Linked DNA regions of Cricetulus griseus. The protein of the gene in region 1 interacts with the protein of each later gene in a biochemical or structural test. Links are inferred from orthologs where the notes say so. Each region holds a gene or a part of one and is shown in the gene's direction. Other genes may lie near its edges. The genes, in order: Esr1, Safb, Arnt, Ccnd1, Foxo1, Prmt2 and Ncoa6.

Evidence for each region.
Region 2: the proteins of Esr1 (region 1) and Safb form a complex in vitro, tested with the Homo sapiens proteins (2 studies listed by BioGRID). The link is inferred for Cricetulus griseus from reciprocal best matches to the Homo sapiens genes ESR1 and SAFB.
Region 3: the proteins of Esr1 (region 1) and Arnt form a complex in vitro, tested with the Homo sapiens proteins (2 studies listed by BioGRID). The link is inferred for Cricetulus griseus from reciprocal best matches to the Homo sapiens genes ESR1 and ARNT.
Region 4: the proteins of Esr1 (region 1) and Ccnd1 form a complex in vitro, tested with the Homo sapiens proteins (2 studies listed by BioGRID). The link is inferred for Cricetulus griseus from reciprocal best matches to the Homo sapiens genes ESR1 and CCND1.
Region 5: the proteins of Esr1 (region 1) and Foxo1 form a complex in vitro, tested with the Homo sapiens proteins (2 studies listed by BioGRID). The link is inferred for Cricetulus griseus from reciprocal best matches to the Homo sapiens genes ESR1 and FOXO1.
Region 6: the proteins of Esr1 (region 1) and Prmt2 form a complex in vitro, tested with the Homo sapiens proteins (2 studies listed by BioGRID and IntAct). The link is inferred for Cricetulus griseus from reciprocal best matches to the Homo sapiens genes ESR1 and PRMT2.
Region 7: the proteins of Esr1 (region 1) and Ncoa6 form a complex in vitro, tested with the Homo sapiens proteins (4 studies listed by BioGRID). The link is inferred for Cricetulus griseus from reciprocal best matches to the Homo sapiens genes ESR1 and NCOA6.

Annotation. Positions count from the first base shown.
Region 1 is NC_048595.1:282,289,986-282,294,370, forward strand, and holds the start of Esr1 (estrogen receptor), read left to right. Parts: upstream 1-1,528; 5' UTR 1,529-1,990; coding exon 1,991-2,054; intron 2,055-4,385.
Region 2 is NC_048598.1:96,940,615-96,944,056, reverse strand, and holds the end of Safb (scaffold attachment factor B1), read left to right. Parts: intron 1-106; coding exon 107-397; intron 398-715; coding exon 716-853; intron 854-945; coding exon 946-988; intron 989-1,790; coding exon 1,791-1,906; intron 1,907-2,059; coding exon 2,060-2,166; intron 2,167-2,298; coding exon 2,299-2,365; intron 2,366-2,474; coding exon 2,475-2,604; 3' UTR 2,605-2,784; downstream 2,785-3,442. UniProt on the Homo sapiens protein: Binds to scaffold/matrix attachment region (S/MAR) DNA and forms a molecular assembly point to allow the formation of a 'transcriptosomal' complex (consisting of SR proteins and RNA polymerase II) coupling transcription and RNA processing.
Region 3 is NW_023276806.1:61,081,713-61,085,370, reverse strand, and holds part of Arnt (aryl hydrocarbon receptor nuclear translocator), read left to right. Parts: intron 1-162; coding exon 163-314; intron 315-2,124; exon of another isoform or gene 2,125-2,283; intron 2,284-3,630; coding exon 3,631-3,658. UniProt on the Homo sapiens protein: Required for activity of the AHR. Upon ligand binding, AHR translocates into the nucleus, where it heterodimerizes with ARNT and induces transcription by binding to xenobiotic response elements (XRE).
Region 4 is NC_048596.1:56,404,583-56,408,721, forward strand, and holds the end of Ccnd1 (G1/S-specific cyclin-D1), read left to right. Parts: intron 1-2,631; coding exon 2,632-2,780; intron 2,781-3,411; coding exon 3,412-3,576; downstream 3,577-4,139. UniProt on the Homo sapiens protein: Regulatory component of the cyclin D1-CDK4 (DC) complex that phosphorylates and inhibits members of the retinoblastoma (RB) protein family including RB1 and regulates the cell-cycle during G(1)/S transition.
Region 5 is NW_023276806.1:99,188,581-99,193,031, reverse strand, and holds the start of Foxo1 (forkhead box protein O1), read left to right. Parts: upstream 1-1,606; 5' UTR 1,607-2,023; coding exon 2,024-2,638; intron 2,639-4,451. UniProt on the Homo sapiens protein: Transcription factor that is the main target of insulin signaling and regulates metabolic homeostasis in response to oxidative stress.
Region 6 is NW_023276806.1:262,479,820-262,484,071, forward strand, and holds the start of Prmt2 (protein arginine N-methyltransferase 2), read left to right. Parts: upstream 1-1,317; 5' UTR 1,318-1,456; intron 1,457-1,804; exon of another isoform or gene 1,805-1,825; intron 1,826-2,510; 5' UTR 2,511-2,569; coding exon 2,570-2,623; intron 2,624-4,252. UniProt on the Homo sapiens protein: Arginine methyltransferase that methylates the guanidino nitrogens of arginyl residues in proteins such as STAT3, FBL, histone H4. Acts as a coactivator (with NCOA2) of the androgen receptor (AR)-mediated transactivation.
Region 7 is NC_048599.1:24,163,975-24,168,398, forward strand, and holds the start of Ncoa6 (nuclear receptor coactivator 6), read left to right. Parts: upstream 1-1,506; 5' UTR 1,507-1,692; intron 1,693-4,424. UniProt on the Homo sapiens protein: Nuclear receptor coactivator that directly binds nuclear receptors and stimulates the transcriptional activities in a hormone-dependent fashion. Coactivates expression in an agonist- and AF2-dependent manner.

The DNA of each region.
Region 1 (4,385 bases):
GTTGGTTCAGTGAGAGACCTGTCTCAAGGAAATGAGGTGGAGAGCATTAGGAGAAGACACCAGTGTCTTGCTTTGGCCTCTGGATGCAGGGGCACAGGCATGTGCCCACATATTTCTGTGTACTTTCACACTCATATGCATCCCCTCCATGAAAAGGAAATAATCTTACACTTGGTTCTGAATCCAGTGGATGTTCTATTTTGAGAATTCCTGCCCTAGGTAATTTTCTTCTCTGTATTGATGTACACAACGGATTCTAACAGGTAGCTAAATGCTATTTGAAAGCATGATTCATCCATCCTGGCAAATCAAATAAAATGGAGGGATTCAATTAATTTGGGGCAGAAAACACTTGGCTTTTAAAACGTTTGAACTATTCAGAACCTTTTATTGAATCATTTACCTTTCACCAGAAATCGTAATAAAAATAATAAATCAAAGACTGTCCTTGCCATGCTTAGGGTATGTAATTATTCCTTGTATAAATGAGTCTTATTAAGCTTAATGTTTGTTAAATTGAAATAAAGCATTCTATATAACAACTAAAAGGCATTCTATCCCAAGTAGTCTGGGGGAGTTAAATTCAGACACATTTATGCATTTTGGGTTATTTTAGGGCTAAACTCACCAGTGTATAGAAAACTGAAGACAGTGAAGATAGTTTATTCTAAAAATGTTTAATTCATTAGTTATGAGATGTTTGGCTTCATGTCTCCTCTAAGCCAATTCTGACAGTCTTCCCTTACCCAGCATGCACCAGTGTGCATTTAGAGGGATTGAGGCAGTGGCCAGAGAGGTCCCTTCTGGTCTTTTGCCTGTCACCATTCTTATTTCTGGAAGAATATCCTTTTTAAGTCTTATCGCATAGAAAAAAAGCAAACACATTAAAACAACAACAACCCATCATTGAAAGCACATGTTACATAAAACATAGCAGATTTTATAAGCTGTTAAAATTTCAATCATTTTTAAAAATGAGGGGATCTTTGGGTTGTGGGCCAGCGGTAATGTGTTTGCTTAGCACATCAAAGTTTTGGGTTCTACCTCTAGCACTGAGAGAGAAAATAAATTCAAAATATTTTTTAATCTCATATTTTTACTTCAGCCTGTTTGTCTTTGAGTTTAAAGGAAAGAAAAAGACAAACCAACAAAATAATAAGTGTTTAAAAAGCCAGTCGTTAAAAAAAGGAAAAAAGCCAGTCTTGGCTTACACCTGTAATTTTAGTGCTTAGAAGGCTGAGGCAGGAGGATTGCTGGGAGTTTAAGGTCAGTCTGGACTACAGAGACCTTGTCTTAATAAAACAGAACAAAACAAACAAGATTAAAGCCCTAAAGCAAACAAAATACACCCAACCCCATAAACTTGTAAATCGCTGCAGGAAATACCAAGCAGTTTATGAAGACTCATGTATCTTAAGGGCTTCCTTGTCAGTGCAGGTTTCCAAAATCAGGAACCCAATTAATCAGTGACAAGACTTGCTGAGCTGCTCCTTGAGTCAGTGAGTGAAAGAGAAAGTTTCGGAAGCACTCACCGAAGGAACACCCTCACGCCAGCCTCTTAGCTAATTTTGGGTGAGAAAATTTATGCACCCCGGAGAATGCTTTCTTATTTTATTTTTTCCAAGTCAGCATGCCCGTCTAGACTTTGAGCTTTATTGCAAGTAGAGACAAAATGGGCTGGATCACCTTAAAAAAAAAAAAAAAGTCTCAGCTAGCTAGTTTCACCGGAGGCTTGTCCCTCTGCAAACATCTATCTGTAGGCAAATGTTGAGAAAGTTGGAATCGGGCCTGGCTGGAGAGAGGAAGGCCACCCCCTCCCCTATTATCCGGAGCAGAGTTTCCAATCCCAGTCAAGTGGTGGTGCTAATTCCTTGCTTCTGAGACTCTGCATTTCCTAATTTCATGGTCATAACAGCCTCGGAACGGATTCTACCAAAACTGAAAACACAAGGCTCCATGCTCAGCAGCCCTGTGACGCCAGGAGAGGCCAATGCCCCCTCCTCTGCCATTCCCTAGCACAAGAAGGCAGTCTCTGGGTGATTCTTCTCAAGCAGGTACTTCTATGTCTTCTCCATTTCTTTATAGTCCCCCCCCCTTGGCTATATTGTGCTAGTATGTGCAAGCAGGCTGGAGTCTCAGAGCTCACCTCTCCTGTGAAAATCTGTCCATTCTCTTTCTTTCATTGCTCCAGCGATATTTTATGAAGTTTCTGGCAGACGTTATCAAGTTAACATGTTAAACCTGACCTTGGTCCCATGGAAATTCACTCTGGGAGCCATGCTCAGCTGAGTCAGAGGGCGACACAGTTATCTTTTCTTAGTACAGCACTGACAGGCTGCCTGCCTGCCCCAGATCACGTCTATTTATTGGTCCCAGGTTTAGCTACGGGGATCTGTAAGGTTGAAACATGCGCGAGTTTAAAAAGTTCCTGCTTAGATTCACTTTGTACTTGCCTCAACACGACCCTGTTTCTTAATCTTTGGTGCTGTGACTTGTGACTTATGGGAGCGTGATTTAAGCAACTGGAATAAGCCATCATTTGTTTCCCCCAAGGTAGTGGGGTTTTCTGAAAAGCTATGCCATCTAGTAATTCATCTTGTCTTGAAGTTGCCCCACGATTGTAGGCGAGTTCTGAACCCCGTGGCTTTGGTTCTCTCCAACCTGAAAGTAGCCATGGGTGACTTATTTTTTTTGTTTTCATGTGTTTTCCTTTTTTTTTTTTTTTTGAGGCAGGGTGGTGTGTGTGTTAAGGATAGTGCCACACAGTGGCACACAGTGCCACTCGTTGGTGACGCGGTAGTTACAAAAGACAGAAAAGGATACTTTCATTTTGGCCACAGGAAAACCACCCGTTTCCTGTAGTGGAAAGTCTTGTGCTTGATCAAGAAGTGGCCAGTGTTTGTTCTCTCTGACTTGCCCAGAAAATCCTAGATGGTTAAAATTCATTTTTAAAAATTTACCTAATATAAGGGTTGGGCTTTATTAAGATGTTTGATTGTGGCATGAAGTACCACTCACGGGTGCCAAATGTTTTAAAATTAGCTTCTTTCGCCAAATCTAATTGATTTATAGAGTACCTCCTCCCACAAGGCTGCTGGGAAATATATTTAGTTTTGAACCCGAAACAATATATGCTGAGATAGTGGACATTGGAGTACCAACTGAAAATATTTGAACTTTTTTTTTTTAAAGTCAGTAGGAGAGAGACCTCTGTGATCTTAGGGGCAGAACCTATTTCTATTCATTAAAATTCTTTTCTGTTTCCCTAAACCAATAAAAGAGAAACGTTTTGCCCTTGTCTTGTTAATATTCCAAGAAGGCCCATCCTTGGCCCTGCAAAGATAGATATAAGACTGTAGCGGTTGGATCCAATCTTGCACTGATTGTCAGATTTCTGTCACAGAAGTTAGAAATAAAACTGACATAGGTATCAGAGACAGGGCATACAGAAAAAAAAAAAGCAAAATATTGAATGCGATTATCAGGATTGTATGTACAAGCAGAATGTGTTGCTTTGACACTTGGAGGTAATTATTCACCTTTGTTGCTCATGACAGCAAAGGAAGAAAATAAAGCCCCAAAGGATAAATTTGCTGCAACAACAAAGCCAGACAACTGCCTTCTCTTTCAATGATCTAGAGCTTTCTTTCAGTTTAGGACTCAGAACCATCTGGCATCTGTCTGTCTTCCTCCAAATGTAAACCCCCAATCCCTATAGACATTACATGAGGTACTTGCTGAGGCTTCCTATATGGGTAGTTATCTTTACCCCGTCCGAGTCTGTCTCTGTATTTTTGGTCCAGTTGGCCAGAATGACAGCTTGAGCTAAGGCTGTGGTTGAACTTCAGTTTGTTCCATGGGTACAGGGAGGCTGTAAAGAAAAACAGACAATAGAGTGTCCAGCTTGGAGACTATATCTTTGGTAAAACACACAAGAGGTGTGGTCCTGTCCATTTACCTCTGCCTGGGCAGACTGGCTATTTACTGAGAAAGAGACACTACCTATGAGACTTCCAGTACAGGGACTAACAAAGTACTTCATTGTGTTTGTGTGTTTGTGTGTGTTTGGGGGTGTGTGTGGCAGGGGGCATGCTGTTTCATAGTGAACATGTGAAGGTCAGAGAACATCTTTGTAGAGTCACTTCTTTCCTTCCATATTTACATGGGTTCTGGAATTGAACTCAGGTCTCCAGGCTTGCACAGGGAATACTTTACTTAGCCACACCCCCATCCATGCTCTTTTTAAAGGAAAACACTTTACAGGTAGCTTTGGCTAAAGATGGTGATGCTGATGGTGACTTTGTCTCTTAAGTGACATTCTAATAATCTCTTTTTAGATCTTCTCAGATCACAGCAGCAAAACTGCATGCGCTAATACATTGCAT
Region 2 (3,442 bases), on another chromosome or scaffold:
GGTGGCAGCTGCAGTACCAGGGACCCCTTTAACTGTGAAGTATCGTCTTTGAGCTTGCTGCCCCCAGCATGACCTAACTCTGCCTCAACTTGCCCTCCTCACACAGGGAGCGGGAGCGCAGTGAACGGGAGCAGCGGTTGCAGGCACAGTGGGAGCGGGAGGAGCGGGAGCGGCTAGAGATTGCCCGTGAGCGCCTGGCTTTCCACCGCCATCGGCTAGAGCGAGAGCGCATGGAGCGAGAGCGGCTGGAGCGCGAGCGCATGCATGTGGAACAGGAGCGGAGGCGTGAGCAGGAACGTATCCACCGTGAGCGGGAGGAGCTACGACGGCAGCAGGAGCTGCGCTATGAGCAAGAGCGCCGGCCTGCAGTGCGCAGGCCTTACGATGTGGATGGCCGGTGAGCAGCCAGGGATCCAGAGCACCAGGCCCAGGTGCATGGGGCAGGGGTGGGGGCGGGTCTCACACTGACTGACCTAATTTGGAGCCTGCTGGGACCTTTGGTGTGTGAGGCTCTAGGCAGGCAAGTGTCCTGTGAAGCTGCCAGTACCAACGGCTTCCAAAGACCAAGGCACTCATCACCCACGGTGGCACTAAGTTAAAGGTGGGGCGTTTGCTCCAAGGGTTAATACACCTTCCACAAGGAGACCTCTTGCCAGGGACTTGAAGCTGTGTAGACTCTAGGTGCCTCATGCCTCTGCCTCACACTCCATCACAGGCGTGATGATGCCTACTGGCCAGAAGCCAAGCGGGCAGCACTGGATGACCGCTACCACTCAGACTTTGGCCGCCAGGACCGCTTCCACGATTTTGACCACAGAGACCGGGGCCGTTACCCCAACCACTCTGTGGACAGGTAAGCCTCTGGATGGGCCCATGACCATGTTGGGAGGGCTCTGTGCAGGCACACCCCTCACCGTCTGGTCTCACTGAAATCACATTTTTTAGGAGAGAAGGTTCGAGGTCGATGATGGGAGACAGAGAAGGACAGGTGAGCATGGGGCACTGCTTCAGCTGTGGAGGGGTGGTCCCATTCTGTCAGTGCTGCTCGGGAGCCATAGTGCCGGCCACATCCCACCTGTGCACTCTGAGCCTCTCTGAGTGTTGCTCGCACTGCACCACTGCTGCTTTTAGCTGCATGGTGCCACCCTCATTGCTGTCTGGCTTACCATCCTAACCCTTTGGTTTCCCGTCACCAAGTTGATACCAGGGTTGTCTGCAGCCCTTGGATACTCATTCCGCCACCCTGTGGCTTAGCTCTACCACAGGCTGCCATCATGGTGTCACCATTTCACACAGCTACTTGCCTTTGTGGGAACAGCTGACCAGCAGTGGCCTGGGTGTATGTTCATTTGTACATGCAGTTGTCACTCTGCAAAGAAGGGCAGGTGACTGACTTGAGAGTTAGACAGTGAGAGCTGGCCCAGAACTCCGGTGTGTCAGGACTGTTTGTGATTGGGCAAGAGACTGGAGGGGGTTGGAAGGTGCTAGATGCATTTGGCTTCACTTGGTGTCTGTCAGGCCTTGGCCTTGACACAGGGTTTTTGGTAGGCCAGTATTTGAGCCAAGGATAATGGCTGGCACTCATCTCATTACTCAGGTAGCTAGCCTGGGTTCATGTGGGTGTCTCACTGTTGTGAAACATAGGCTGCAGCGCTTGTTAGGAGCCTTGTAAACCTAACCCTTTGTGAAGAAGGATGCTATGACAATGGCCACATACTCTGGTTCCTGAGCTTTGTTTCCTCTTGTCTGGGGATTGGGTGATGCTGACTTAGCCTTTTTCTCTGGTCCAGCATTACCCTGAACGCCATGGAGGGCCTGAACGCCATGGCCGGGACTCTCGAGACGGCTGGGGCTACAGCTCTAACAAGAGAATGAGTGAAGGCCGAGGGCTGCCCCCTCCTCCCAGGTTTGTGTCCCACCCTCCCAAGGCCTGGTCTTGGGATGACTTTTAGCCTGGCCTGGTGGAGTGTGAGCCCCACCTGCCCCCCCCACCCCCCCAGCCATGCTGTTTGCCAAGGGCCTGGTGTGGCAGTGCAGGTCAGAGGTATCTCTTTCCAAGGGGCAGGCGTGACTGGGGGGAACACAGCCGGAGACTTGAAGATGACCGGGCATGGCAGGGTGCAGCTGACGGAGGCATGATGGAGCGTGAGCACAAGAGGTGGCAAGGTGAGAACAGGCGGCAGCCAGGGCCACTGGTTAAGGAAGGATTGGGGTCTGGGGTAGGATAGGACCAGGTGAGACCAAGCAGGGCTGTTTGTCTGCCAGGCTGTCCATTTAGACTTTTGCCTCATCCTGCAGGTGGTGAGAGGAGCATGTCTGGCCACTCAGGGCCTGGCCACATGATGAACCGAGGTGGCATGTCAGGGTAAGTGCTACCCTGCCAAGGAGGAAGTGGGGTTACATACTGCAGTGGTGAACTAGGGACTACCTGTGGCTTGGGGAACACTGGCTAGGGCCTCTCCTTATCTCTTTAGGCGTGGCAGTTTCGCCCCTGGTGGAGCCTCACGTGGCCATGTGATTCCACGTGGAGGGATGCAGGGAGGCTTTGGAGGACAGAGCCGGGGCAGCAGGCCCAGTGATGCCCGCTTCACCCGCCGCTACTGAGCACCTGTGCCACCCAGCTGTGTGACCTCTGTGTCCTGTCAGGACTTCTCCCACCATTGTACAAAGGATTTTTTTTTAAATCTGCTGCCATATTGTAGCTTGTTAAATGTGAATTTGTTTTCATTTTGGTTTTTGTTGCTGTTTTTTGTAATAAACGTGTTTCTGTTCATGTGCCCTTTACTTCAAGCCTTCAACCTTGAGAAGTGGTAGTCCACAAGCAGCCAGAGGCGTTGTCCATGGTGCTAGCCTGTCCTAGTCTGTGGCTCGGGCCTTGGCTGATTCAGTCCTGCATATGGGAAGATAGTCGGCCCACTTGGACCCATGTTGTGAGCTCCGGCTTGTGACCACCATGTTGGTGACCATGATGGACATGCAGAGCTGGCCTTACTGCAGACAGAACTCTGCAGCAAACAAAGCTGGCTGGCTGTTGTTGGCAGGGGCACCAGAGGGGTGGGAGACGTGCGCCTAGCTCTAGAGGCCGTTGACACTCAGCCTGGGGTACAGGCAGAGGTAGCCCCTGGTTTTGGTAAGGCACATGTCTCCAACTTTTGAACTTCAGCAGAGTGACGCAATAACCCAGATGCCAGGCATCCTCTGTAGCCCAGGAGTGGACCTAGGACAAAATAGTTGTGTTGAGCCAGTCAGCCATCATGCCCTTCATCTGTTCACTGGGTTTCCAGGGTGTTCTGTGAACGTGCAAATAGCTGGGTGACCTATTGGGCTTGGGTCCGTAAGCTGCAGAGCTCCTTGTGGCAGAAGCTGTGCCTGGAGATGACCCAGAGCCCAAAGGTGGCCTGGAGTCCAGGCCCCCCACACCCCAGTACCTTCTGGATCCTTT
Region 3 (3,658 bases), on another chromosome or scaffold:
TATTGTCTAAGCTGACCTCAAACTTAGGCAGTTCTGGTACCTCAGGCTCCTAAGTACTAGGATCATAGGTGTGAGCTCCTAGGCTTCGTATTGCATTAATGTGTATAAATTCTAACGCTTTCCCCACTGGCTTTGATCTTTTCTAATGTGTTCCAATATTAGGGCAGTGATCAATTGTGAGTCTTTGGTGAAGGATTTCTACTCTAAGCTGGGACTGCGGTATCATCACTGTAGCTCCGAGGATGAAGCTTCCCAGCCTACAGAAATAATTGAGATTCCTGATGAAGATGATGATGTCCTCAGTATTGATTCAGGTAAATGATGAAGCTTTAGTTAAAAATTCTTAGAATGGGCCAAGTGTGGTGGCATGCGCTTGTAGTCCCAGCACTGGAGGAGGCAGAGGCAGGCAGATGTCTGAGTTCCAGAACAGCAGAGCTATGCAGGGAGAGCCTGTCTCAAAAAGACCACAAAAAGAAAGAAAGAAAAAAAGTTCTTAGAATGGAAGGTGAATTATTAGAAGATGAGCAGGTAGAAAATAAGGAAACATATTGTCAACAATTCCTCATACCCACTTGCTGGGCTTATTTATTATAGAAAAAAGCAAGTTCCGTAAGTGCTATATCCTGATTGCTTCCTTTTCCCATTTCATGGATGAGGTATATTTATTTTCTGTCTCCCCCCTCCCCCCATGTTTGTGTGTGATTTACCTATCTATGTCTAAATTTCTTTTTCAGTTACTATGATAAAATGTTCTGACAAAATCAGTTAAATGGGAGCTAGGTGTTGGTGCATAACTTTAATCCCAGCACTCGGGAGGCAGAGACAGGCTGGTCTCTGAGTTCCAGGACAGGCTCCTACCCATTACAGAGAAACCCTTTCTTGAAAAACAAAACAAAAACAAAAACAAAAACAAACATCCAAAACTCAGTTAAAGGGAAAGGGACTTAGTCTGGTTCACAGGGATTCATAGTGGCAAGAGCCTGGAGCATCTGGTTCCATTGTATGTGAAGTCTGGAGACAGACTGCCTCATGCTGCCTGCTCAGCTAGCTCTCTTTCTCTCTTTATGAAGTCTAGGGAATGATAACCACCCACAGTGGGCAGGTCCTTTCACCTCTACACAATCAAAATAATTCTCCATTGGCTTTCACAGAGTTCCATTTCCCAAGTAATTTCAAATTTTGTCAATGTGACATTAATGGTCACAGTGTATGCGTACATATGCATGTTTTGGATGTGTGTGTACGTGCATGTATGTAGGTATGTATGCATGTAGAATTCAGAGGTTTACAGCTTTCTTCCTTCACTTTATTATGGAGGCAGATTCTCATTGAACCTGGAGCTTGCTAATTCTAGCATGTATAGATAGCCAGCTTACAGTGTGTCTCTGCCTTGTGAGTCCTATGATTACAGGTTTAGGATCCAAACTCCAGGACTTAGGTCTTGTGATGTAAACACTGTATCCATTGAGCCATCTCTCTAGAATTTTTATTTTAAGATAATGATTTTACTGTATCTGTGTGGTGTGGAACTTACCACATAGTGAATACTAGTCTTAAACTTGTAGCAATACTCTTGCTTTTTTTTTTCTTTTTGAGACAGGTTTCTCTGTGGCTTTGGAGATTGTCCTTGAACTAGCCCTTGTAGACCAGGCTGATCTGGAACTCACAGAGATCCACAGGCCTCTGCCTCCCTAGTGCTGGGATCAAAGGCATGCGCTAACAACTCCCTTTTTTTTTTTTTCTTTTTTTTGAGACAGTGTTTCTGTGTAACTTTGGAGCCTGTCCTGGATCTTGTTGTGTAGACCAGGTTGGCCTCAGACATACAGAGATCCGTCTGTCTCTTCCTCCCCAGGAACCACCACTGGTCGGTAGAATACTTCTGGTTTCTAAAAGCTGTGATTACTGACATAGGCCAACATACCAGATTTATGCTGTATCTTATGGTTTACCTTAGTAGGTAAATTCAGCATTTATTTGGATTCCCTAACAGTGCTTGCTTGTTTGCTTGTTTGTTTTTAGTTGTTACAGGTTTTCTCTTAAGTGTCATGCGTCTGTTTTTTACCTTGTATGGATATCTTGCTTACAGGTATGTATATCTACCATGTCTACTCTGTGTGTGCCCAGTATCCACAGAGGCCAGACGAGGACATAGGATCCCCTGAAACTGGAGTCTTGCCTGGTTGTGAGCTTCCTTGTGGGTACTGGAACTCAAGCTGTGTCTTCTGGAAAAGCAGCTGGTTCTCCCAATTGCGGAGCCATCTCCCTAGCCTTTTGTTGCCTGAGGTAAGCATTGGAAGGAATTTACTATTTTTTTTCTTTTTTTTTTTGGGGGGGGGGTTGAGACAGGGTTTCTCTGTGTAGCTTTGGAGCCGATCCTGGCACTTGCTCTGGAGACCAGACTGGCCTCGAACTCACAGAGATCTGCCTGCCTCTGCCTCCTGAGTGCAGGGATTAAAGGCCTGCGCCACCAATGCCCTACGGCATTTACTGTTTTTATCTCCTCTTTCACTACTCCTTGTCTCCAGTCCTAGAAATGGAGCCTAGAGGGACTCATATGTTACCAGAAAATGTGATCTCTCCTATATTATTCATTTAGTTGGTTTGGGGGTTTAAAAGTTGCTTTGCTCTTAAGCAATTTATTTTTATTATTTTTTTAAAACTATGTGTTAAAAAAAAGTGTTGGGAGCGATGGCTCAGTGGTAAAGAGCACTGGCTGTTCTTTCAGAGGACTCAGGTTCAATTTCAGCAACCACATGGTGACTCACAACCATCAAAAATGAGATCTGGGGCTCTCTTCTGTAGTGCAGGCATACATGCATACATAATAAATAACTAAATAAATTTGTTTTTTTTAGAGGTGTGATGTCTGTCTGTGTTTGGGAATGTGTATGTGAGTATAACTGGACTCAGCTCAGAAGAGGGCACCAGATTCTCTGAGATGTATTGTGACCAGTGTAAGCTGCTGACATGGGTACTAGGAACCATTCCTGGGTCCTGTAAAAGCAGACCTTGTGGTGCTGGAGAGATGACTCGGAGGTGAAGAGCACCGACTGCTCTTCCAGAGGTCCTGAGTTCAAATCCCAGCAACCACATGGTGGCTCAAAACCATCTGTTATGAGATCTGGTGCCCTCTTCTGGTGTGCAGATATACATGGAAGCAGAATGTTGTATACATAATAAATAAAATTAAAAAAAAAAAAAAAAAAAGCAGACCTTGTAACCAACCACTAAGCCCTCTCTAGTCCTTGGCTTGTTTGTTCGGTGTGGTGTTTCGATTATGTGTTCCTGATATGTAGCTCCCTGTGTAAACTAGCCTCCTGCTATGCAAGCATTCTACCATTGAGCCACATCCCCAGACTTGTTTCTTTTCCATTGTTTTGTTTTGTTGAGACGGTATCCCTCTGTGTATCATTGGCTGTCCTGGAACTCACCCGTAAACCAGCCTGGCCTCAAACTCACAGAGATCTACCTGCCTCTGTTGGGATTAAAGATGTTTACCACCACCACCCAGACTTTTAAATTGCGTTTACCAATAAAGTTTTCTTACTTAAAATTTGAGTTCATTTATTTAATGCTTCATTGAAAATTCCATTGCCTACATCTATATACTAAAGTTCTTTTCTTCCATAGGTGATGCTGGAAGCAGATCGCCAAAAGA
Region 4 (4,139 bases), on another chromosome or scaffold:
CATACATAGACAGTCTGCTGCCTCTAGGTGGTCCTAGTACTACATCTGACAGCTGCTTCCCCATCTAACTGGGAGCCCTGCCCAGGAAGCTTAGAGATGCTGAGGGGGTCTTGTACTCTCTCTCTCACCTGCTTAGGACCCCTGCCCGCCCCCCAGGTGGCCCTGATCAAGCCTTAGTTGCTATATCTCTTAACTCAGGCTAGGTGGCTTGTAGGGCAGCCAAAAGGCAACATGGTGTAAGAGGGGCATGTAATGTCTTTTCCCACCTGCCATCTCTGGCACCTTCTGTTGTCCACCCTTGTGGATAGTGTTTCTGCTTAGCTGTGGTGGGTGTGAAGATTTTGGGATTCTAGCCTCCCAGCTACCTGCTGAGGGTGGCAGCCCCTCCCCAGAGGCCTACCAAGCAAGGGGGTGGCAGATGGGAGTGCCAAGGCCATCAGTAGCCTGGAAGGATGTAAGGGGCGGGGGCGGCCCTGCTGGCTGGCAGGCAGGGAGGCGTCTGGCTGGGGTTCCTCTGGGGAGAGCAGAGCCCTTGGAGGCTCCAGGAAGCCTTTTATGGAGCTGAAAGTGGCTTCAGAGAAGCTGCAGAGTTTCCCAGAGATAACATGAGGGATGGGGTGGCACAGCCTCCCCAGGATGGTTCTGGCAGCAAAGGGCCCCTCCCAGGACCCCTGAATGCCAGCAGGGAAGCCAACAAGTATTAATGCATTGTGAGTATGGCTGGACCCAGCTTACTGTATGGCCTTTTTCTATGATGGGTCCACTAAGAGCCCCCAAAAGACAAATGGAGATTGAGCACAACTTATTGAATTGCATACACCAATGTTCTAGGCCTGGAGGCTTTGTCCCCCTGAAGGAGTAACCAGCTCCTTAGAGGTCACATAGAGGTCACTCTGGAAAGAGGCCAGAGGTCAAGGCCAGCCAGGAAATGTGCCATCCATGTGGCAAGGTTACAGGAGATAGGAGGGTGTGACTTTTCTTCTCCCTTCTGGATACCCCCAGACCTGGGTCCTGACCTTGTGAGCAGTGCACTAACCTAGGGTTGGGGCTGGTCATACAGGCATGCACAGGTGGCCAGAGTGTACCCTTGTGTGGATTAGGACAAAAGGAAATTGAGCTAAATGAAGGGTGTTTGGTAAGTGTCAGTCATGCCACTGAACTGGGTGACAACTATGCCAGCAGCAGCCAGGCAGTGTGAGTAAGCAGATGTTAAGGTTCCTTATACTGCACATGAGAAGGGGACAGACAAGCACCAGAGGGGGCCACGTGCTAGCTGGTGGTTGGAGTTTCTCTGTCTCCTTGCAAAAGGGGCATCTGATTTGAACTTGTCTCCATAGCAAGCTCAGTTCACTGAACTGAGCTGAGTCCTTGGTGCCACCTGGAAGTATTGTCTCTCTTCTGCGTGGCTGCTCTTCTTCCGGGTCCCTTCCTGGTGCCTCCCGACCTTTAACAGAACCAAAGCTCTATGCTCTGTCAGGGTAGTCTCCAAAGGGCTGCCTCACCACCATAGCCCTCTCCCACTTGTGATTCTCATTAGTTTTCTTCAAGCCTCCCAGTTCCCAGGCACTGGGTGACCCAAGATGGGGAAGCTGACACCTGTTCTTTATTGTGTCCTCCTCTAGCCCGGAACCCCTGATCCACGGGCTTAAGTGTGTGGCTGTCCTTGTCACTGTTTCAGGAGAGCAGCTTGTGGGCTCATCTTTGGTAGTGGGGTTGGTGGGCAGGCCTTCATTCCGTCAGCCCGCCACACCACTCACTGCAGATACTGGGTGGAAGTCGGGTGACCCCCTGCTGCTGCAGTACTGTGGGGGGACATGACCCCACACATTTAACAGTGGGGCAGACTACAAAGCTGCCACCCCCTGGGGTTTGCTTTCTCCAGTTGGGGCTGTGCTGTGAGAGTCCCCAAGACTCGTGGGCGGGGCTTCCCTCACAAGGGACCCTGAATTGGAGTTCTGGGGTCCCATGTCTTTCTTCCCTAAGCTGGCATCAGTGAACCAGGAAAGCAGCTTGGAAAAGATGCAGGAGAACATTTTATAACTAGGGAAATGGCTTTGTGGAAGATCCTGGGAGTCAGTCCTCTGGGGGGAGCATCCCTTCTGTGACATCTAGCCTGGCCTCTGAGGGATCTGCTCCTATCACCCTTGCAGCTTACCGTTATCCTTCTATGACTTGGTGGCTCTGGAACACAGCAATCCCCTTGCCTCCATCTCTCAAGTACTGGGGATGCAGATGTAAAGCGTCACACCTGCCTCCAGGTTAAAGGGTTAATTAAGGGCCTGTACCTTCTTGAATTCTGTCCTTTGTCCTCTTCTTAAACTTTGAAGGAACAAAGGGGACATGACCAACTCTTCCTTGTTATTTGCTTGAGATGCTGGGGGGGTGGAACACAGGCCAGGATCAGCCGCTCAGCTTCTTAAAGTGAGACAAGACCTTGCCTTAAAGTGTCTGCACCCTGGCCTCCATGCTGGGGTTGAAGGCCTGTATCCCTATGTACATCTAGCGCCACCTAGCTGTTGCCAAAGGAGCTGGAGTTGATGCACGGATAGGGAGGTTTGGAGGACAGAGTGAGGCTGTACTGAGAATTGGGTGGGAGCTAAACCACAGGCCTGTGGCTCCTCTCTACTGCAGACGTGAAGTTCATTTCCAACCCGCCCTCCATGGTGGCTGCCGGGAGCGTGGTGGCTGCAATGCAAGGCCTGAACCTGGGCAGCCCCAACAACTACCTGTCCTGCTACCGCACAACGCACTTTCTTTCCAGAGTAATCAAGTGTGACCCGGTAAGTGAGTCATTGAAGGAGACTGCATCGGGGGCGGGGGGAGGGGGGACAGTGTCAAGACACTGTGTGACCAGGCCAGGGCTGTGAGGGTTGGAGCACTGGCCTCTGCAGCAAAGGGGAATCAAACCTAGCGCCCCCTCCCCACCAAGCCTCTTCCCAGGCTTGAGGTTTGGGGATCTTCCAGAAGCCATTGATCCTAAAGGAAGGGGGCAGGGGCGTAATGACACTGAGCAGTATGGCGGATGCTGCTTGGGGCTCTGGTCGTGAAGGTGTCCTCAAGGACATTGCAGGCTGGCATAGACAGGACAGACAAAAGTCCAATTCTGGCTTGGACTCAGCTGGGGGTTCAGTGTAGGTCAGAGCCAGTGGACTTCCATGTGTGACACACGATCTGCCCTGTCTGGCATCAGCCACAGGAACTCCCTATTCCTGTCTCATGGCATGGGGGCAGAGGTGACACTCTTCTTGCTTTCTAGTCCCTTGTGGCTCTCTCACTGCTCACTGGATTTGGGGATGACTCGGGGAGTTTCTTCGAGCCTTGCCCTTAGCAAAGCCTGCCTCGCAGGTCAAGGCCCTGGCCACTAGCCTCTGGCTAAACAAGGACCCCCTCCATCTCCGCCTGCCTCTCCAGGACTGCCTCCGCGCCTGCCAGGAACAGATTGAGGCCCTTCTGGAGTCCAGCCTGCGCCAGGCCCAGCAGAACATCAACCCCAAGGCCACCGAGGAAGAGGGAGAAGCAGAGGGAGAGACTGACCTGGCCTGCACACCCACCGATGTACGAGATGTGGACATCTGAGAGCCACCGGGCAGGCGGGTGCCACCAAGGAGTGGCAACCCGCGATGAGGAAGGAGCCAGCCCGGGGTGCTCCTAATGATGTCCCTCTTGGGGACATTTTGTTACCAGAAGGGGAAGTTTTGTTCTCTTTGTTGGTTGTTTTTCTTTAATCTTTCTCCTTTCTATGTGACTTAAGCAAAAGAGAAAAAATACCTGAAAGCTGTCTTAAAGAGAGAGAGAGAGAGAGAGAGAGAGAGAGAGAGAGAGAGATAGAATTTGCATCACCCTGAGTGTAGGGCAGAGGGGATGCTACCAAAATAGGATTTTATACCCCAGTAATCAACTAGTTTTTTATTAATGTGCTTGTCTGTTGTAAGAATAGGATTAACACACAGGAAGTCTACAGAAGGATTTTGATTTTATGTGTTTAAAAGGCTTAAGAAACATTGCTTTAAAAAAGAAGGAAAAAAAGGCAAATAGAGCAAACTTGTTGAAATAGAAGAGAGTTTTAGGTAGAGATGTACTCGCTTTGCTGAAAGGCACACCTCACTCCTGCTTGCTCAGTGCAGCCACTGCTAGTCACC
Region 5 (4,451 bases), on another chromosome or scaffold:
AGCTCACTGATTTACTCAAGTCTCCTAGTGGCTGCCAAGGAAGACCCCACCAGCCACAACTTATATCAAGGTGAAGAGACGACAACCAACCTCTATCCCTCCCCAGCACTTCTGGTTCAGGGTCTCTACCCATACCTCCTTTCAAATTAGAGGAAGCCATTGCAATAAAGGGATTATGAAGAAACGGGGGCCCGGAATAGAGAGATGTTTCAGGAAAAAACCCCTCTGCATAATTCTAACCTTTGTAAGAATATCATTTTCCTTAGATGCCCCCTTTTAAATAGAAGATTTCTGTGTAAGGAAGAAGAGTGAACAACAGCAACAGGAAATTAGGAACCATCTTTTTGAACACATTTAAAACCCTAATATTCATCTTCAATTCTAAGGCATCCTATTCATTAAAAGAAAATGCCATCCATATTTCTTTTTAAAAGAGAAAGCAAGTCAGAAAACCAAGCGAGGAAACATTTTCTTCTGCTCCGTAATACAAGAATCATTATCTTTCTACCTTCGACCTTGCTGAGCCTGTATTAGATAGCCAGATCTGGGAGCTCGCACTGGGAAAAGTGAGGTGTAGGTGGGAGCAGGCTGAAGGCACAGATGCAGGAAGCTTAAAGGACCCGTTGGGTGATTGAAGAAGGGGGTCTGTGCCTCAACACTTGGGTCTGATCATTTTGGATTTTACTCAAAACCTCATGGCTTCCATTTTAAATAAAAAGAAATAAGCAACTAGTTAAACTTAATTAGGGGTGATAAAGTGACAAGGTTGTCTCTAAACGCTCTCCTAACCCTTTGGCCACTACTATGGTTTTCAGGGGACAGTGAGATTCCCGTGGCAGGAAAGCGGTTCCCACAGAAGACTTCAGATCAGAGGCGCTACAGGATCTATGTGCTTGTGAAACACTAGTGTCTTCTCCCCAAGCCGCACCTCTTCTGGGTTCAGGATGACTGGAGGCTGGGGGATGGACAGAAACGCAGAGTCTCAGCTTGCAGGTGTGCAAGGGTAGGGTGGGAAGAGGGACCAGGAGCCACAGAGCCTTCGGTCTTCACAGTAGGATCTTTACGCCCGAGGCAGCCCGGACAGATGCCAGCTTACGAAAACATTCCTCCAAAACAAACCCCACCGACTTCCCCAGAGCTCCCCGAAGACGCGTGGGCGGAGCGGGCTTAGTGGAATCCACGAGGCGCCCCGCCGCCCACGTCGCGTCCGGGAGCGCGCAGTGGCCCCGCGCCACCCCTCGAGTCGTCGGGGTTTGGGCTCCGAGGAGTACTCGTTTGCACTCTGTAGTAAACAAAAGTATGGTCGCCGCCTCCACGCTGGTTTGCTTCCTAGCAATCCGGACTCTGAGAAGCGAGAGACTCAGAAACACTTGAGAATTACAGAAAATAATAACGGAGATTGAAAAAAAAAAAAAAAGTGTGTGAGAAAGAAAAACACCCCGCTAGCCCCCTCCCAACAACCTACTGCCGCCTCCCGAGGGAGAGCAGCTCCCGCCCAGGCTCGCGCTCATTGGCTAGCGAGGCGGAGACGTGGCGTGTCCATTGGTCGCGCTGGCTGTCAGTCAGGGGCGGGTCGGCGCGCGCGCCGCCGCGGGCGGGGAGCCTCTGCAGATCCCGTAAGTCGGGAGGCTGCGGAGTCGCTGCAGTCCCTGCCGCCGCCACATTCAACAGGCAGCAGCGCCGCTGTCGCGCGGCCGCGGGAGAGCGAGCGAGCGGCCCGCGCCGTCCCCCCCGTCTGCTCTTGCGTCCGCGGCCCTGTCAGCAGGAGCGTGGCGCTCGAGCTGCCGGGCTCCGCGGCCTGGTCCGTGTCCCGTCCAAGCCACGAACTCGGAGGATCCTGGACCCTGGTGGCCCGCGAAGTTAAGTTCTGGGCGCGTCCGTCCGCTGCGCCGCGCCTCGCTCCGGCGTGCGTCCGCTCACCGCGGCCCCCAGTCTCGGAGCAAGTCTCTGCTCGCCCGCTCCGCGACCCCGGTGGCCGCGACTCCCAGTACTCTATACTGGTGGGGGAGGGGCGGGGGTCACCATGGCCGAAGCGCCCCAGGTGGTGGAGACCGACCCGGACTTCGAGCCGCTGCCTCGGCAGCGCTCTTGCACCTGGCCGCTGCCCAGGCCAGAGTTTAACCAGTCCAACTCGACCACCTCGAGCCCGGCGCCGTCGGGCGGCGCGGCCACCAACCCCGACGCCACCGCGAACCTGGCCTCGGCGTCCGCTGTCAGCACCGACTTTATGAGCAACCTGAGCCTGCTGGAGGAGAGTGAGGACTTCGCGCGGGCACCCGGTTGCGTGGCTGTGGCGGCCGCCGCTGCGGCCAGCAGGGGCCTGTGCGGGGACTTCCAGGGCCCCGAGGCGGGCTGTGTGCACCCGGCACCGCCGCAGCAACCCCCGCCGACCGGGCCGCTGTCGCAGCCCCCGCCCGTGCCCCCCGCCGCGGCGGGACCGCTCGCGGGACAGCCGCGCAAGAGCAGTTCGTCGCGCCGCAACGCATGGGGCAACCTGTCGTATGCCGACCTCATCACCAAGGCCATCGAGAGCTCGGCTGAGAAGAGGCTCACCCTGTCGCAGATCTACGAGTGGATGGTGAAGAGCGTGCCCTACTTCAAGGATAAGGGCGACAGCAACAGCTCGGCCGGCTGGAAGGTGAATGGCCTCGGGGGACGTGGTGGGGGCGGGCTGGAGGGTCGAAAGTGTGGGTTTGCGGGTCCCGGAAATGGCAGAGCGTGCGGAGTGAGCGGGGCGAGCGGGTGAGACTTGGCAGGTGTGGCGGAGGCTTCTCTGAGACCTGGAGCTTTGGACCAGGTGCACGCGAGGGAGTTCTAATTGGGACCCGGAAAGGGTTTGTTTGGGCACTAAGTGCAACGCCAGAGCAGGCGTGAAAGTTAGCCAGTTGTCGGAGCGAGGGGATCACTTTGGAGGGCTCTCTACTTGACACCCCGGACCTGTGAGGCTTTGGGCGGCTGCTCTCCGCCTACTCGCGCACCGACTCTCCCAGCCTTTGGTGGCCAAGGTTTCCCAGGACCCGCCAACTGAGGCCTGAGGTGGAGCCCTGGCGACATCCCCCTAAACGCACACGCACCCTTGGGGCTCCGGCTGCGGGTGGGATGGCTAAAGACGCACAGCAGCTGGCTGAGCTAGGTGCGGGCCCGCAGCTGCTGAAGGTTCCCGAGGCCGGAGCAGGTGGTCGAGCGCGCCCACTCACTGTGTAGGGTGTCCGAAGCGTGCGAGTGGGCGGCCACGGCTTTTAGGCGCTGGGCAACCTAAAGTTCAAGTGTGACCCTTGGCCGGGGCGGGAGCCGGCGGGGAGGGAGGGACCGCGTGTACAGGAAGCTGGGGCCTTTAAAGGGCCAGTGCCTCCAGCCTGGGAGGCCACACTTTAATACCCAGGGAAGTGCTTCCACGGTTGGTCTTGCTTGGGGAGGGGTGCTTTTAATTGGAAGCCCAGAAGGTGCTACGCGTGACCAGATTATGCACAGGTGTTTGCGAGTGCTTTCTTTAAGCAGAAAGCATGGAGTTACTCACGAGGGGCAAGGCTGGAAGCCTTAGTCGGAGTATTTGGTGCCAGTCTTAAGTGGGGTACTTGCTTAGGGAATTGCCAGAGACCTTCTCCTTTGAAGGAGGATTGCAGATTTGTAGATGTAGGTGCTCATGGACTTTGTTTACCTTTCTGAAGATGGCTGGGAGAGCGAGGTGACTCCAGAGTTGGACTGCGCGACATCCCTACCCTGTGTGTGTGTGGGGGGGTAGTAAGAACCTGGGGTCTTTTGGAGGAGAGAATTGGAATATTACACAGGGGTCACTCCCTGGTGGTCACCCCGGCTGACAGTTTCTTAGCATCACAGGTGAACACAGATCTTAAGATTTTCCAGTTTAACGCAACTTTTTTTTTTTTTTTTTTTTTTTTTTTTTAGCTTTTCTCCCTCCTGGTCTTGTCTGTACAGTGTAGCAGTGATGAGTCTTTGCTTTGTGATTGTTAGAGCGAGGTGGTTTCACATATTCCATCTTCCCTGTGGTTAAAGTAGCTAAAAGGTCAGGTTACTCACATCATAGGAAAGTTCTTGGAGAAAGAGCCGGGCTTGTTTTGTTTTTGCCAGTGTGTTTTAAAGATATATACTATACCTGACATGCAATATTATCAAATGTTCCAAAAAGTAAAATACCCATTTCTCATATTCTAATTCACAAAAATAGAGGTTGTCTTTACTTAACTGACTTTGAGTACTTGCCTGCTTTACTCATCTATGGAATCTCAGCAGTTACATAAAGCTTCTGTCATTAAAAATAAAACAACAAGAAACCCTAAAACCCTTTAGGCACCCAAGTACAGTGTGTACTTACATCGTTCTTTAATGTTCTTGGAGAGGGATAGATACAACCTACTTCAGTTTGTTTAAGTGCCTTACTTTAAAGATAAAGGTAGTGTTTTGGGATATTTCTAGTTTTGCCTTTCAGATAG
Region 6 (4,252 bases), on another chromosome or scaffold:
GGTTAGCCACCAGGCCACCTTTAGTGGCAACTCTTACGTTAATGATTTTTCATGGTAAACATGGTGGAAAAACCAAACCTTTTCAGATTCACCTCCTTGGCAAAGGCTGTGATCTCACCGAAGTTTAGGCTCAATCTTACCCACTCCACCCTAGAATCAGCCAGAACTTGGCCTCCTTTAGGGGCTTCCCGTTCACACCACGAGGTTCTAACTGAAAACTTCTTAAACTGTGGTACACAGCTCTGTTCTGTAACTTAATGTTGGAGTCACAAAAACCGGGCAACGGTAAAAGGCTTCCAAACTAACAATGGCCAAAATAATTCAAACTCAAAAGTGTAACGACTCCAAAGTGTCTCTCTCAGCCATCACCCATGGTGCGTTGCGGAGCTCCACCTCAGCTTTGGTTTTGAACGCACAACAGGTACAGTTTACTCTCCATTTGCCATGCAGATCACTGAAGGCTGCCCGAGGTGCCTCATAGCGGGTTTGAAGCCATTATGTTAAGAGCTGCAGTGTTTTTTGTTTTCTTTCACCATAATGGCTTAATTTCGGAAAACAAAGAATTTTAATATTTTCCCATCATCCCTCGGCACTATCACATCAAAGTATCTGGATTACAGTGGACAAACACATCCAACTAATTAGTGTGCAAATCTGCTTTTGTCTCTAATAAATGGCAAAATCAAGTGTTTTAAAATAAATTCTTTTCTGATTTATTACCAGTGAATGTTCCTTTCCTATGCCTACTTTAGACACCTAGTGTCACACGGAAATTTCTTGCATAGAAAGGGGTTGCCAGTGAAAAGGACCCTGCTCTGTCAACCGGTACCAGTGGCCCTCTGAGTACAGGATCTTCAGGACCTGGGGGGTTCTGATGTGTCTTGTGCCTCACTTGGGAGCTGTGCTGGTACCACCTCAGGCCTCAGGCTAAAGTTGGTTCAGATGCTGTGCGAGGCCCCATTCTGCAGACGCTGATCCGGACGCAAACCAGGTTATTGGACAGGCAGAGGGCTCCAAACACACCAGCAGCCCCAAGAGTGCTCGGGACGGCGCTGCCGGGCACTTCTGCGGCGGCGGCCTGCACGCAGTTGGAATCCGCTGGGGGCACGGTCTACACCACCTGTGGCCTCCCACCCCAAGTCCAGCCTTCCTTCGCACCGTTCCTCCCGGTGAGCCGTTGCTTGCACGGCTCCCCGCTGCGGGCTTGAAGCCGGACGCGGACTAGACGCAGGGACACAAAGTGCGCCTGCGCCGAGCGGCCGGCACTCAGACAGGACTCTGACCTGCAGCACACCGGGTTCAGACGGACCGCGCCTGCGCGGGACACCGAGGCCTGGGCGAGCCCGAGCGTTCCGCGCTTGCGCAGGTCTGGGGCGGCGGCTGAGGCTTCGGATGGGCGTCATCCCTTCCTCCTCGGTGTCGCCAGCCTGGCGTTCGGCGGAGAAACGCGGCCGAGGTAGGTTTCTTAATGGGCGGCTTTGGCAGCTGGGCCGCAGGTGAGGCCGCACATGCTAGGCAGAAGGTGTGTGTCTCCGCCCCTCCCGAAGGTTCTAGTCCCGCCTCACCCTTTCTCAGCAGCGCCCGCCCTCTCCCCGCTCCTTTCGCGGCGCCCCTCACTCACTTCCCCAGCCCCTCGCCGCTGGCTCCCGGAGCCACGCCCTCCAATGACCACGCCCACCTGCCTAAATGCCTCTCGAGCCACGCCCCCCTCTTTAAGCCTCTTGCCTCACCCCCCACTTGGCCTGGCCGACCCTCCCAAAGAATTCATTGTCCTCCTCCTCCCGGGCACCAGCCTTATCCTGTTCCCAAGCTTTTCACCGAAGATGTAATAAGTATTTGTAATTCTAATTATTACGAAGTATGAAGTCCAGACCTAGAAGCACAGCAGCAGGCATTTCAACAAAGAATTGCTTTAATTGAAGTTAATCCCAGAGCCAGTAAAATTGCACTGCCCCTGAAGAAAGAGAATTAAAGAGTAGGAGGGTGTCCCCGGGCATGCAGACTCCAATTCTGCCACTGGAACGAACAGGTCAAGCACTAGGCAAGGGGTTTAAATTCTAGTTTAAGCTGTTAGGAGTTCCTAAGAACAAAATGATAGTGATTTATTGTAAGTAAAAACAGGCTCGCAGGGAATAAAATTAATACTTAGCAGACTAAGGAAGGAAGCACACAGTATTTGAAGTTTTTGCTGTTTAAAACCCTCTAAAACAGCGGTTCTCAGTCTGGGGGTTGAAGATCAGATATTTACATCATGATTCATAGCAGTAGCAAAATTACAGTTGTGAGCAGACACGAAATAATTTTATGGTTGGGGGTTACCACAACATGAGGAACTGTATTAAAGGGTTGAAGCGTTAGGAAGGTTGAGAAGCACTGATCTCAAGAATTGTGGTGGTAAAGTCCATTTCTGTGCCATTCTTTCACATGCAGTGAACCGTAGAGCTGAAGTGAATTTAATTTTCAAGTATAACAAGCACTTTGTGTTTCTTTCTCTCTTTTTTTCCAAGTAGAAATGAAAGGGAAAATGAAATAACAAAGAAGCAGTTATGAGGCAGAATCTTACTGAACTATGGAGACACCAGGTGACTGTCCCGGAAATGAGTCACAGGTCATCCCAGTGCTGGTACGTAAGAGCCATGTGTAACGAAAAACAAGTCACAGGTGTGAGGCAGTTTTCCTTGTCTCTCAAGGTAGTCAACAGGAGGATGCTTGAATTTAAACAACACTGGGTGGGGGGTGGTGGATATGAGCCTAATTCATAGGTGCCATGCTGCGTGGTGTTACAAATCCTTCAGGGAACTCTTTAGAATGCTTCAGACACCACAGTCCTCCAGTGTAAACTTGTGTTTAGTCGGTGTTAGGCATAGGGCCTGGAAAATGCTTGGTACTCCAGAAGTTCCGTGTTTTGCATGCTGTTTTCTGCCTTGGGTGCATATCAGTTTGATTCCTGTTACCAGAGAAAAGGTCCCCTTCACTTTTAAGGAATATTGATAATGTACAATTAACAAAATGAGTATTCAAATAAAAACACTTTTAAAAATCAAAGATTTTCATGTCTGTGGTGTGAGCTTCAGCATTTTCTTCTATCCTAATGATTTTCCATTGCTTGGGTTTTAATTTATTTAATTACTTATTGAGACACAGGATACACAGGTCTTACTGTGTATCCCTGGTTGGTCTTAACTCACGGGGTTATGTCATTCTGTGGCTCCTGAATGCTGCAATTAAAAGTGCCTCCATGCCCAGCTGCTGGGTATGTATGTATTGGGTATTTTTATGTGTAGGAATTTTATTTATAGTTGGCTTAATTTGTTAATCATTTTCCATGTTCAGCGTCAAAATGTTTTAATTCTATGAATGCCCAGTTTTTCTTTTGGTAAATGTAAATATTGACAATTACAAGATAATGTTGTAGACATTGAGCATATGTTGTGCAGAGATGAAAACGTTTCGTTGTAGCTGCCTCAGGGCACACACACAAATAAAATTAACACTCTAGTCTGTTTTCAAACCCAGACCCATTCCTTCCTCGTCTGGAGGCAGACAACCACTTCAGGCAGGCTTCTGCACCTTAGGTACCTTTATGAACGTATAAGGGTCCTCAAGCCAGCCAGAAATAAGCACCGAGGAACTGTGTCAATCAAACAAAACGAAGGATCCCTGAACAAAGTCCGAGTTGCTCTGTGTTTTTTCTGAGGCTTGTGTAGGTGGTATTGCTGTTTCTGCAGCTATGTGACATCACTTTGGCCCTGCCACTGCTGGGCCTCCTGGGCACGTGCTCTGTCTGTATATCCCAGTTTTGTGTTGGTCTGCTGTGGTCCCATGGCTATGCAGTGGGTTTACATCTCCCTGTCTCCCTTTTGTTGGGTACTCAGATGTAGTCACACCCTGCCTCCCCATGGTGCTGCAGTGAGTACCTGTTGCCATATCTGGTGCTCCAGATTAGATTCCCAGCGATAGCACTGTGGAGCTTTGAGGGTGGAGGACCACATACTTTGAGTTTCCAGGCAACGTCACAAGTACACAGATCTTCAGTATAGCCCCTGATGGTGTCATAGACGATACTTTAATTGTGGTCAGTTGGATGGGTTAGAAATGATTTCTTCTTATTGACTTTTAGTTGACTTCTAAGTGACTCGGGAGTCTTAGTGGGGGTGTGGCAGAAATCCTGTTAATACTGCCCACTAGAGAAGAGGTGCTAATCCTAGGAATTTGTGTTTTCTTTTTTTTCGGCAAATCAGGGCTAATCAGT
Region 7 (4,424 bases), on another chromosome or scaffold:
ACACACACATACACACACACACATGCTGGCAAAACACTCATATACCAAGTAAAATATCTTTAAAAATTTAATGTGTGTGTATGCCTGTACACATGTGTGTAGGCATATACATGCTAAGGGGCCAGAAGACAACTTGTGGGAGTCATTTCTTTCCTCCTGTCGTGTGAGCTTCTGAGGGAACTCAGCTTGTCAGCCTTGATAAACAAGTGCATTTATCTATTAACCAATCTTGCCTGCCTGGGTTTTTTTAATTAAAAAAAATGATTTTAGGGACTGGAGAGGTGACTCAGTAGTTAAGAGCACTGGCCACTCTTCCAGAGGACCCAGGGATTCCCAGAACCCAGATGACAGCTCACAACTCTCTGTAACTCCAATTCCAAGGGACCCAACACCTCTTCTGACCTCCACAGGCCTCAGGCACAAGTGTGTGGTGCACATATATACACGTGTGGAGAACATATGTACATATGTGCTACATACACACACACACACACACACACAGGCAAAAACACTCACATAAAAATAAATAGATCTTTAAAATAATTATTAATAGGTTTCATCATGAGATTTTCATACATGCGTATCACGCTTATAGTTACTTCGCATTACCTCTCCCATCCCTTCTGCCCTCAAATAGTTCTCACTCTGCAGCTTTTATCACACACACACACACACACACACACACACACACACACACCCCTAGATTCTGTCGAATCATTTTTAGTAAGAGAGTGGCACGCTCAGAATTCTGACGGAGGAATATTACTAGCAAGAAAAATAGTGGCGCACGCTGGCGGTGCTGGTAAGGGTGGTACCCATACCAGTCTATGTGCACAGTGTGCACTCAATAAATACCCGTGGAAAGAAAGCGTTTCAGAGTCCTCTCTTAGATGAGACACTATAACTGAGCCGTTAAGAATCCACCTGCCCCAACCGTCCTTACAGAGGAAGAAGCTGAGACACAGAGGTAAAGAAAATCATGAAGCTAAGGGGTGGGAACTGATTTAAGTGACTCTGGGCTCAGCCCAGTGCTAAGAACACTTCCCTGCTTTGGGAAGAGAGGAAGCCAGAGGCCCGCCTCCACCTGTTCACTCACCAGTTCTATTTTGTGAGCACCTACCGTGTTTGTTAGGGTGGTGGGACGAAGTGGGGGGGGGGGAGATAGAATAAAGGTTATCTTTATCGTCAGTCATTAGACGCTTTCCAAGCCTTTCCCTCATTTCCTCTGCGCAAGGAAATACTATCATCCCCATAGCTGGGGAGAGCACACTGAGGCGTGGAGCGTTACGCAGCACACACAGCCAGCCGCTGGGACAGCGCTGAACATGCACGCAGACCAAGATCGCACCCAGCACCTCGGCTCACATGCTCGCTAGCAATCGAGCTCGCGCGCTCCACCTTGCGCGCCAGGGGACGCCCGGTCACGTGGGCAGGGCCCCGCCCCTCGGGCCCGCCCCGCCCCGCCGCGCTCCCTCCCTCTCTCCTTCCTCCCTCCCTCCCCGGCCCGGTCCGGCCCATCCCCCCTCCCCACCGGCTCCCTGAGGCCTGCCGGGTCGGGCTGCGGCGGCCGGGCGCCGACGGCCGGACGGACGGGCGCACGCGAGGACCGGCGGACGGACGCGCCGAGGGCGCCGGGCACGCACGGCCCGGGCCGGCGCTGCGAGGCCCGCCCGGGGCCGGGGCCGCGCTCAGGTGAGGCGACGGCGACGCTGGCCCGTAAGGGGTGGGCCTGCTGAGCGTCCCGGGCCCGGCCCGGCAGGCTTCGTGGGGAGGAGGCCCGCCCGGGCCTGGCGCGCGAAGATGGCGCCGGGCGGCCGTGCAGCTCGGCCCGAGTGCGGCCCGGGCCCGCAGCCGCCCCACCCGCCGCCGCGCTCGTGTCCCCGTCGCCATGTTGGGGAGCGGGCCCGGGGCCTGCGGCGGGCGCGGCGGGAGCGGCGGCGGCGGTGGGGAGTGCGGGTCGGGGCCCGCGGAGTGCAGGCGGCCGGGGTTGCGCGGGCGGCGCTGCGGCCCAGGAGCCGGCTATACCGCGGGCGTGAGGTCCGGGCTGGGGGCGCGGAGAAAAAGACCCCGGGAGCGGACGGGACCGGGGTTGGGGGCGGGGCCGAGGGGGCGGCGGGCCGAGGGGGTGCCGGGCGGTGGAGTTGGGTTAGGCCGTGCGCTGTGAACCGAGCCCCAGAGCAGCAGCCAGGGGTAGGGGAGGCAGCTTGGGGGCCGAGTCCTGGCTGTCAGGGCTGGAGTTGTTCTTTGCGTGCGCTGGAGGAGATTGCTTAGGAATGGGGGTTGCGAACTCGGGGATCAGAGTGGGTCACCGACGCGGGAATCAGCCTGGAAGGGTCCTGGCACTGAATGGCCAGTCTTTATGACTCCCAAGGGTCTCGGGACCTGTGAGCCCTGAGGAGCCTCCAGTCCCGTTGGAGGCAGCAACAGGAAAAGGGAAGAGCTTGATGAGGAAAGAAAGGGTGCCAGGCAGGGGCTGGATGTAGGAGCTGGACAGCAAAAGGTACAGAGTGGAACTGGTAGGAAAGGAGAGAACCTCCATCAACTTAAGGAGTTGTCTTTAAAAGGAGGGACCCGGCTGTTTGGGGGCGGTGACCCAAAGTGTGTTTCCTGGAAGGGGACAGCCGCTGCTTAAAGAGCAGGGTCACCTGGGGAGGTCGTCTGAAAGGTCTTGTTGAAACTAGTCAGAATCGTGAAGAAGGAAAGGACATGTAATAACTACGGTGGCTTTACAGAGATCATGCCATGGTTTCAAATCAAGTAGTGATTTTAGCCAAGGTAATTGATTTCCTAAGATAGTTTGTGTCGGTGACAGAGGCTCCTGGATATGGACTAAGGCTTCCTCATTCAGTTGCTAAGTCAAACTCCATTAAATTATCAGAGTCATTAATTTTTGTTTTAACAAGTTTGTCAGTACAAAGCCTGAGTGGGATACAAAAATGTATAATCAATTATTGGATATTTCCTAGATCTCCATTGATACAAAAAAAAAAGCATCAAGAAAGAACCTCTTTCTAGAGTTTAAAAAAATGTTCCCCCTCGTCTGGATGTTTATTGCACAGCAAAAGAACACAAAAAGCTTAAAAGGGGAAAAAAGGATAATGATAGAGACCTAGGGTCCCCATCATATTCACTTTAATTGAATTTCTGTTATAAATAGGCAATTGAGAGTTCAAATGGACTATGAGATAAATCAGCCAGTGATATATAGTTGACTTTTAATGTCCCTGAGTTTTGCATCTACAGCTTCAACCAATCACCGATTAGAAACATTCATAAAACAAAAAATTGAAACTGTGCTAAACATACAGGGTTTTTTCCTTGTCACTGTTATTTTTTCTTGTTATTATTATTCCCTAAACTAGACAGCTTAACAACTGTTTACATGACATTTACATTTTATTGGCTATTACAGGTAGACAGGATACACAAATATTGTATCACTTTATATAATGATTTTGATATCCTAGGAGGTCCTAGAATCCATTGCCCATGGATATACCAAGGAATGACAGACAATACAAAACTCCACATAATTAAAAAACAAAACAAACTTAGAAGCCAGGCACGGTGGTTCACATCTATATCTCAACACATAGGAGACTGAGGCAGGAGAGTCTGGGCTATAGAGTAAAGGCCCTGCCTCCAGAGGAAAAAAAATAGACTTTCAGGTGTTGGCATTGTAGTTAAATGGTAGAGTGTTTGCCTAGCATACAACATAAGGGCCTTGGTTTTATTCCCAGCACAAAAGGGATGGAGTTTAATCAAAAGAATTTTATAAGGATTTTCAAAACCACATGTATATTCAGTACCAATTTTTCTGAGTCTTTCTAATGCAGAGATCTGATCTTATGTGTGCCATGGTCCCTGTAGCATGGATCTCTCAAAATAATATTTTTAATTGTATAAAGTAAATGACATTGATTACAAAGGAAACTAGTTACATTCAAATAGTTACTAAGTATAAAAATTGTTTATGCTGAAGTATCTGTACACCTATTTGTGAATGTGGTGGTAGGGATTGAACTCAGGGTCTTGCTCAATCTAGGTAAGCCTGCAATACTGAACTATTCCCCCCTTGCAGAGTGTGTGTGTGTGTGTGTGTGTGTGTGTGTGTGTGTGTGTGGAGGAGGTGGAGGAGTAGTACTTATCGAGTTTGTGCATATGCATGGGGAGACCAGAGGTTGACTTTGGTGTCTTCCTTGATTGTTTCTCTACCTTATTATTTTTTTACCTTGACATTTTATTTTCTGTAGTTATTTGTGTGTGGGGCCATGTGTGTGGAATCTGAGGACAACTTGTGGGGATCACTTCTCTTTTTCCACTTATGTGGGTATGCCAGAACTCAGGTCATCAGGATTGACAGATAGAGTGCCTTTACCTGCTGAGCCATTTTACAGTCTCAACCATTTTATTTTTTGAGACAG